2 linked regions of the Rattus norvegicus genome follow. The protein of the gene in region 1 interacts with the protein of each later gene in a biochemical or structural test. Links are inferred from orthologs where the notes say so. Each region holds a gene or a part of one and is shown in the gene's direction. Other genes may lie near its edges.

The links.
Region 2: the proteins of Nhlrc1 (region 1) and Epm2a form a complex in vitro, tested with the Homo sapiens proteins (3 studies listed by BioGRID, with this or other methods). The link is inferred for Rattus norvegicus from reciprocal best matches to the Homo sapiens genes NHLRC1 and EPM2A.

The regions. Positions count from the first base shown.
Region 1 is NC_086035.1:17,879,317-17,883,591, forward strand, and holds Nhlrc1 (E3 ubiquitin-protein ligase NHLRC1), read left to right. Parts: upstream 1-1,253; 5' UTR 1,254-1,325; coding exon 1,326-2,516; 3' UTR 2,517-4,095; downstream 4,096-4,275. UniProt on the Homo sapiens protein: E3 ubiquitin-protein ligase. Together with the phosphatase EPM2A/laforin, appears to be involved in the clearance of toxic polyglucosan and protein aggregates via multiple pathways.
Region 2 is NC_086019.1:7,651,777-7,655,587, forward strand, and holds part of Epm2a (laforin), read left to right. Parts: intron 1-2,236; coding exon 2,237-2,478; intron 2,479-3,811. UniProt on the Homo sapiens protein: Plays an important role in preventing glycogen hyperphosphorylation and the formation of insoluble aggregates, via its activity as glycogen phosphatase, and by promoting the ubiquitination of proteins involved in glycogen metabolism via its interaction with the E3 ubiquitin ligase NHLRC1/malin.

The DNA.
Region 1 (4,275 bases):
GGAGTTAACAGGTGGTTGTGAACCCCCCAGTGTGAGTGCAGGGAATTGAACTCATGTCCTCCAGAAGGGCAGCAAGCGCTCTTTATCCCTGAGCCATCTCTTCACCCCCTTACTTTCAATCTTTCCGGGACTGGAAGACACTACAAGGAAGAACCTCAAACTTACCTGTATGCTATAATCCCCTCACAACTCCCTGCACCCATCACACTGGAGCAGTTAAGCCTTTGTCAACGAGGCTCAAGCGTCTGTCATACACAACCCTATGTGATGATCAGTGAGAGATAGTGAAAGGCCCTGTAGTCAAACTGCCTGCCTTCCAGTCAGCCTCCACGAGGCTTAAATAAAACAGCGAATGAAAACCACTTAAAAGAAGGCAGGCATGGAGTGAATTCTATAGTAACTGCTATTAACTAACACCTTTGGTCGTTGTTATTGTTGTTTTGTTTTTATGACAGGGTCTCCCTTTGTACCTCTAACTGGCCTGGAACTCACTATGTAGACCACCATGCAAGGGAACTAACAGCTTTTAAAATATCCCTTCCGCACAAACCCACTTCACAAGTATTCTTTTGTTTGTTTTGGTTTTGGGGTTTGTTTGTTTGTTTGTTTGTTTTTGTTTTTTTGTTTGTTTGTGGTTTTTTTTTTTTTTGAGCTGGGGACCCAACCCAGGGCCTTGCGCTTGCTAGGCAAGCACTCTACCACTGAGCTAAATCCCCAACCCCTGGGGTTTGTTTTTTTAGGCACCGCAGCCTAGGCTGGTCTCCAACTAACCACTAACCGCTATTCTCCTGTTTCTGCCTCCTGAGTTCTGGCATCACAACCACCACACCCAGTTCTTTGAGGGATGCGTAGCTACCTTCTCACAAGTGTGATAAAACACACCAGAGAGGTATGCACAGCTGCCTCACCCTCTTTCTTGCATCTTCTTTCTTATCTTTCTGCATTTCTGTCCTCAGAGTCATACTATACCAAGACTAGGAGCCACATCTTGCTTCTGCCCAGCCCTGGTACCCAGCTCCCAGTGAAGCTGACTGGTAGTCCTGCCGGACACCAGCCCTGGACGACTAACTGCCACTTACACGCGAACACGGAGAGAACAATCGTTCCCCCCCCCCCGCGAGACGTGTCTCAAGCTCTAATATTGGGATCTCCCACCCGTGACGCGATTCCCCGCCCCCGCCAGGTCCGCGCAGGGCGCATGCGGACCATTGCGTCGTGCGTCCGCCAGGGGGCGGGAGTGCGCGCCTCGCGTTAGAGCGCATGCCCCGCCCCGTGACCGTGGCCGTGACCGAGGGCTGCGCCGGGGCTGCGGCGCGGCGGGAGCGATGGGGGAGGAGGCAGCGGGGGTGCGGCCCGAGCTGGTGCGCGAGGCGGAGGTCAGCCTGCTGGAGTGCAAGGTGTGCTTCGAGAGGTTCGGCCACCGGCAGCAGCGGCGCCCGCGCAACCTGCCCTGCGGCCACGTGGTCTGCTTGGCCTGCGTCGCCGCCCTCGCGCACCCGCGGACGCTGGCCCTCGAGTGTCCCTTCTGCCGGCGGGCCTGCCGAGCTTGTGACACCAGCGATTGCCTGCCGGTGCTGCACCTTCTGGAGCTCCTGGGCTCCACCCTCCACGCGTCCCCGGCTGCCCTCAGCGCCGCCTCCTGTGCGCCCGGGGCTCTCACCTGCTACCATGCCTTTGGCGGGTGGGGGACCCTAGTGAACCCCACGGGGCTTGCACTGTGCCCCAAGACCGGACGGGTAGTAGTCGTGCACGACGGTAAGAGACGGGTCAAGATCTTCGATTCCGGAGGAGGAGGTGCACACCAGTTTGGAGAGAAGGGGGACGCAGCGCATGACGTGAAGTACCCACTGGATGTCGCGGTCACCAACGACTGCCATGTGGTTGTCACCGACGCCGGCGACTGCTCCCTCAAAGTGTTTGATTTCTTTGGCCAGATCAAGCTGGTTGTGGGAAAGCAGTTTTCCCTGCCTTGGGGTGTAGAGATAACCCCTCACAACGGGGTCCTGGTGACTGACGCAGAGGCAGGGACTTTGCACCTGCTGGAAGCGGATTTCCCTGAAGGGGTCCTTCGGAGAATTGAGAGGTTGCAAGCTCACCTGTGTAATCCCCGTGGGGTGGCAGTGTCATGGCTCACCGGGGCCATCGCGGTCCTAGAGCATCCTTGTGCCTTGGGGACGTCAAGCGGTAACAACACAAGGGTGAAGGTGTTCAACTCCAGTATGCAGCTGATTGGCCAGGTGGACAGCTTCGGACTGAACCTCCTCTTCCCCTCCAAAATAACCGCCTCAGCTGTGACCTTCGATCACCAAGGAAACGTGATTGTTGCTGATACCTCTGGGCCAGCCATCGTATGCTTGGGGAAACCTGAGGAATTTCCAGCCCTGAAGCCTATGGTTACTCATGGCCTTTCCCGTCCTGTGGCACTGGTCTTCACCAAGGAGAATTCTCTTCTTGTGCTGGATTCTGCATCCCATTCTATAAAAGTCTTTAAAGTGATGGAGGGTAATGGAGGGTGATGGGGATCCCGAAGCGTGCAGTCAAATCTTGGTGTCGTTGGGAGTGTCACTCATCCATCCAGATGGGGATGATGGTAACTGCCTGGCGAAAGTGGTTATTAAGGCAGTTAGTAAGGACTAATAATTAAACTTGTCATTCAGTGAATGCCTATTCCCGTGTTAAGAAGTTTGCAAATCTTAGCCCATTTGCTCCCTAACACACGGTGATGTCATTCCTATCATCAGTTCATTTCAGAGATGAGAAAATAGACGCAGAGCATTCAATATGGTTTCTTTAGAGTTGTACTAACTGGGACAGTTGAATTCAATTCTGGCTCCAAACCACTTGCTCTTCAATATGATGCCAGAGGTCAAAGAAAAAAACCCTGTGAGCTGTGTCTTGGGTGTGTTCTCCCTACAAGTCGATAACTGGTTAAATGCACAAAGACACAAAAGAAAGGGGTCTCCATGGAGTTTTTCTTTAGGAGAAAAGTGAAGGTGTCTGTCACCTTTATCTGTGACCTCCTCCAAAGGCAGAGTAGATGGTTTATTACCAATTCCAAGATTTGAACAAGGAACAAAGTTGAGCTTTTTCCCTATAAGGTAAAGGCTGCCAGGATGATAGTGTGTGCTACTAAGTCTTCCAACACTTGGAAAGTGGAGGCAGGAAGTTCAGTGCAATCTTACCTAGTAAGTTTGAGGCTAGGCTGGGCTACTGAAGTGTGTTATCTCCCTCTCCTTCCCCCTTCCCCTCCTCACATTCCCCCATCTCCCTCCTCCCTCCCTCCTCCCTTTCACCATCCTCCCTCCTTCTTTCCCTCTCCCCTTCCCTTCCTCCTCTCTCTTCCTCTCTCTCTCCCCCTTGCCCTCTCCCTCTCTCTCTCCCTGCCCCACCTCTCCTTCCTCCATGGGCACTGGGAACTATCCCTCAGTGATAGTTAGAGAAAAATCTGCAGACCTGCTGCCTGCTAGTGTCACAGGCAGATGAGACCAGCGTTAATCAGACGTCACCCCAGCACATTGATGGCAGGAGTGATTTTATGTGCTGTGTGGTGAATCTCTGCCACCTGAAGCACTCTGTGATGGGGGTTTTCTCTGTGTAGTTTGAAATGTGACTCAAACACTGTATACTCAATAAACAGTCCTCGTCCTTTTAGAGTGCTGGAAACGTACCTTGAACTGGAGCACAGCCTTGACCAACAGAAGGGCTCCTCGGTGCTGTAATTAAGGGAGGAATAGGATATTTTTGGTGAAGTGCTGATCCTGGCTACATTTTTATTTTTTTAAGCAAGTGAAGAAGTCTTTGAGTTCAGGGCTGTTGGAATCATATCCAATAACTTATACCCCTGAAGCAACTTCAGAATGCTTTCTGGGGCATGCTTTTGAAAGGTGAGAGTTTGCTTTAGATAAGAACTGATGCTGTGGCCTGGAGAGATGGCTCAGCGGTTAAGAGTACTGATCGCTCTTCCAGAGGTACTGAGTTCAAATTCCAACACCCACTTGGTGGCTCACAACCATCTGTAATGGGATCTGAGGCCCTCTTCTGAAGACAATGACAGTGTACTCATACGTAGATAAATAAATCTGTAAAACAAAAGAACTGATGCTGTGTCAACCAAATGATATTCTCTTATACAAAGAGGCTGTTTGTTTTTGGGACAAGGTCTTGTACAGCTTAGGCTGGCCTTGGACATGCTCTGAAGCCAAGCGTGACCCTCAACTTCTGATCCTCCTGCGCTCATCTCCCAAATGCTGAGTTAAAGGCTAGTCCCACAATGCC
Region 2 (3,811 bases), on another chromosome or scaffold:
CTCATTGTGTCCCGGATTTCCTGGATGTTTTGGGTTAGGAGCTTTTTGTGTTTTACATTATCTTTGATTTTTGTGTTGATGTTTTCTATGGTATCTTCTGCCCCCTAAGAGTCTCTCTTCTATCTCTTGTGTTATGTTGGTGATGCTTGTATCTACAATTCCTTGTCTCTTCCCTAGGTTTTCTATCTCCAGGGTTGTCTCCCTTTGTGCTTTCTTTATTGTTTCTATTTCCATTTTTAAATCCTGGATGGTTGTGTTCGATTCCTTCACACGTTTGTTTGCATTTTCTTGTAATTCTTTAAGGAATTTTTGTGTTTCCTTTTTAAGGGATTCTCCTTGTTTACCTGTGTTGTCCTGTATTTCCTCAAGAATTTATGTTCTTCTTAAAGTCCTGTATCATCATCATGAGATGTGATTTAAATACAAATCTTGCTTTGGTGGTGTGTTTGAATATCCAGTATTTGCTTTGGTGGTAGAACTGGGCTCTGATGATGCCAAGTAGTCTTGGTTTCTGTTGCTTAGTTTCCTCTGCTTGCCTCTCACCATCTGGTTGTCTCTGGTGTTAGCTTGTCTTGCTGTCTGTTACAGTGGCTTGACCCTCCTGTAATCCTGTGTGTCAGCACTCCTGGAGACCAGCTTTCTCCCAGAGGGATCTGGGGACCAAGAGCTGTGGGACAGGGTTAGCTCAGTATGCAGGTGGAAACTGGAAGGATCGAGTGCCAGTCTGCTCCTTGGTTCCTGTGTCCAGAGCACTCCACGAGGGTTCCTCTTGGGCCAGGAATGTGATCAGAAGTGGTGGTCTCCCCTGTGCTCTCAGGATTGTTAGCACTTCTGAGTGTCCTGTTCTCTCTCCAGGGGATCTGGGTACAGAAAGCTGTGGGACCAGGTTGGCTGCTGTCACAGGTGGAAACCTGAAGGACCCTTGCTCCTGGTTCCTGTGTCCTGAGGACTCCAGGCAGGTCCCTAGGAGTAGAAGTGGTGGTCTTACCTCTGCTCTCTCAGGTGTGTCAGCACTCCTAGTGACTAGCTTTCAGCTCTGGGTGCAGGCGGAGACTGGAAGGATCCTTTCTGTGACTGCTCCTCGGTTCCTGTGTCCAGAAGGCTCCAGGCGGGTTCGTTTTGGTTCAGGAATGTGAGCAGAAGTGGTGGTCTCCCCTGAGCTCTCAGGATTGTCTGCACTTCTGAGAGCTCAGCGCTCTTCCCGGGGATCTGGGTACAGAGAGCTGTGGGTCTGTGTCAGTCATTGGTGCAGGCGGAAACCAGAAGCATTATTTTTACACAAGAATTATTTTCTTTCCATTATGCTTCTTTTTGTATGTTGCAAGTACAAAGAGAACTCCATTTGTGTTTCTCTCAACTACATATCTTAAGCTGAATGATTTAAATACATGGCATAACTCATGTAGTTGAGTCTCTAGGGAAATGTTTCTCAAGATTTAGAATTTGAATAAACAAGGTCACCTGGGAAATAGTTGGATATCTGAAACTCGATGGTAATATTCGCTCTCTTTTGTCTCTTTCCTTCCTATCTCTCTGTCTGTCCGTCCGTCCGTCCATCCATCCATCCATCCATCCATCCATCCATCTATCTATCTATCTATCTATCTATCTATCTATCTATCTATCCATCTATCTATCTATCTTTTACTGATAGTTTTAAAGAAAACCAATGAACTTAAAGGGAGAGCCCTTTATGACACCTTTTATGAACATATAGAAAATATTTGGAGGATAATGGACTTAATCTTGGTTTTGAATTTATTTAACCCAAGTTTTCTGTTTCTTAAGTTTAGTGTCCTTCACAGGTCTCACACTGTTGGAAGAATTTTATGTAGTAATAAGGAGTGGTGATGGCTGTATTGAAATATGTTTTTTTGAATTTTGGATTTGAGATGGCTTTAGGTGGTTTTACGTTTAATGTGTTTAAAATGAATTGATAGCATTTGTGTAACAGTCATAGAGTATATCCAACTTGGTGAGTTTATTTTCATATGTTGCTGGACTTAGTTTTTAATGTCAAGTTCCTGGTGTGCTTGTTGATCTTATAATAAGTTTTCCTAAAACAGTAATAAAAGTAGTTTTAAAAAAATTAGTATTATTTCTTATATCCTTAAAAATCCAGCCTTTCCTTATCAGATTGAAAGAGTAATTGTACTTAAATAGTATATGTTACATGCAGATACTGAAAACTCAAGTTAGAACCTTAGTAATGGTTGACCCTGTATGATCTTTCTAGAATTCTACCAAATATCTGGTTGGGTAGCTGCCCTCGACAACTGGAGCATGTGACCATCAAACTGAAGCATGAACTGGGAATTACGGCTGTCATGAATTTCCAGACTGAATGGGATATCATCCAGAATTCTTCAGGCTGCAACCGCTACCCGGAACCCATGACTCCAGACACCATGATGAAGCTGTATAAGGAAGAAGGCTTGGCCTATATCTGGATGCCTACTCCAGACATGAGCACTGAGGGTAAGGGCTGGAAGGAGCACTCTGGGTTCCTGAGGAACTTGCTTCAGGGGCTCCTGTTTGTCTTTCTGTCATCTATAACTGAATGCCTTAACTGTGAGTTATAAAAATGGAATCAACATAAGGATTTAGGTTTAATATATGTTTAAACACTTTGACAGGATTCTGTTTAATGTGGCTTTATATACGTGTGTGTGTGTGTGTGTGTGTGTGTGTGTGTGTAATCTACTGTGTGGTGGCGTTACACTGATGACTGGGAACACAGAGCATATAGTCTCTAAAGGGTGGCAAGTGTTAATGAATGAACTAAAGTAGGGGTTTAAAAGCACAACGGGTTGGTTTTAAAGACACACAGATAGTTTGGAGAGCTTGTGTAGATAATCTAGAGAGCCTTTTGAGGTAGTGATGTCTGAGGTACCGTCTGAGCAGTGACTGGGGAGAGGGCAAGATGGGAGAGGATGGGAGAAAGCAATTTAGAAGAGTCTTATGCCCCGAGAGGATGTGTCGCGTTGTGAACTGAAAGATCAATGTGGCTAAAGAACTGAGAATATGAAAGCACCCTTAGGACTTGAGCTACTGCAGCGATGTCATAGGAACGATGTCACAGGAATGATGTCACAGGAATGATGTCACAGGAATGATGTCACAGGAATGATGTCACAGGAATGATGTCACAGGAACGATGTCACAGGAGAAGGGGAAAGGAGAAGCCAGGGGATGTGTAGATTCTTTTTGTCTTTGTTTGTTTACCGGAAGTATTTCTTTTGCTACATGAACAGACTGGAGCTGGGTCTGGCAATCCAGTGAGGAGGGTGCAGGAAAATGGGTGATAACTGGGAGGTGAGGCACCGAGGGTGTGGGGAGGAGCACGGTAGTGAGTCGTCGTGGACTGGGAAGCATGCGAGAACAGCCATTATGAATGGGTTATCATGGTCGGGTACCGCTGGGGAAGCAGGCAAATAAGTCATAGTTGTGACAACGTAAGTACGCAGCAGCAAGACAAGTTCAGAATCAATTACAGCGCAGAGGAGAATGGACAGTGAACGATGCCATGTGCCCTGGAGATTATGGCTTCTCTAGACGGGCAGATAGACAGGCTACACAATTTTCATGGCATTTGAAGTAGGCCTGGCTTGGACGGGGAGATGTGGGCAGAGAGAGGGCAATGTGGGGGCAAGGAGGAGCACAGAAAAGGGCACAGAAGCTTGGACTTGTAGAAGAGCCATTTACAGATACGATTGACAGTTGCTGAAAATTAGGGCTAACTTTTCTGGTAAGAGAATGACCTCCTGATGACAGTATTAATAACGTGTCAGCAGGGGGCAGCAGAGAGCTG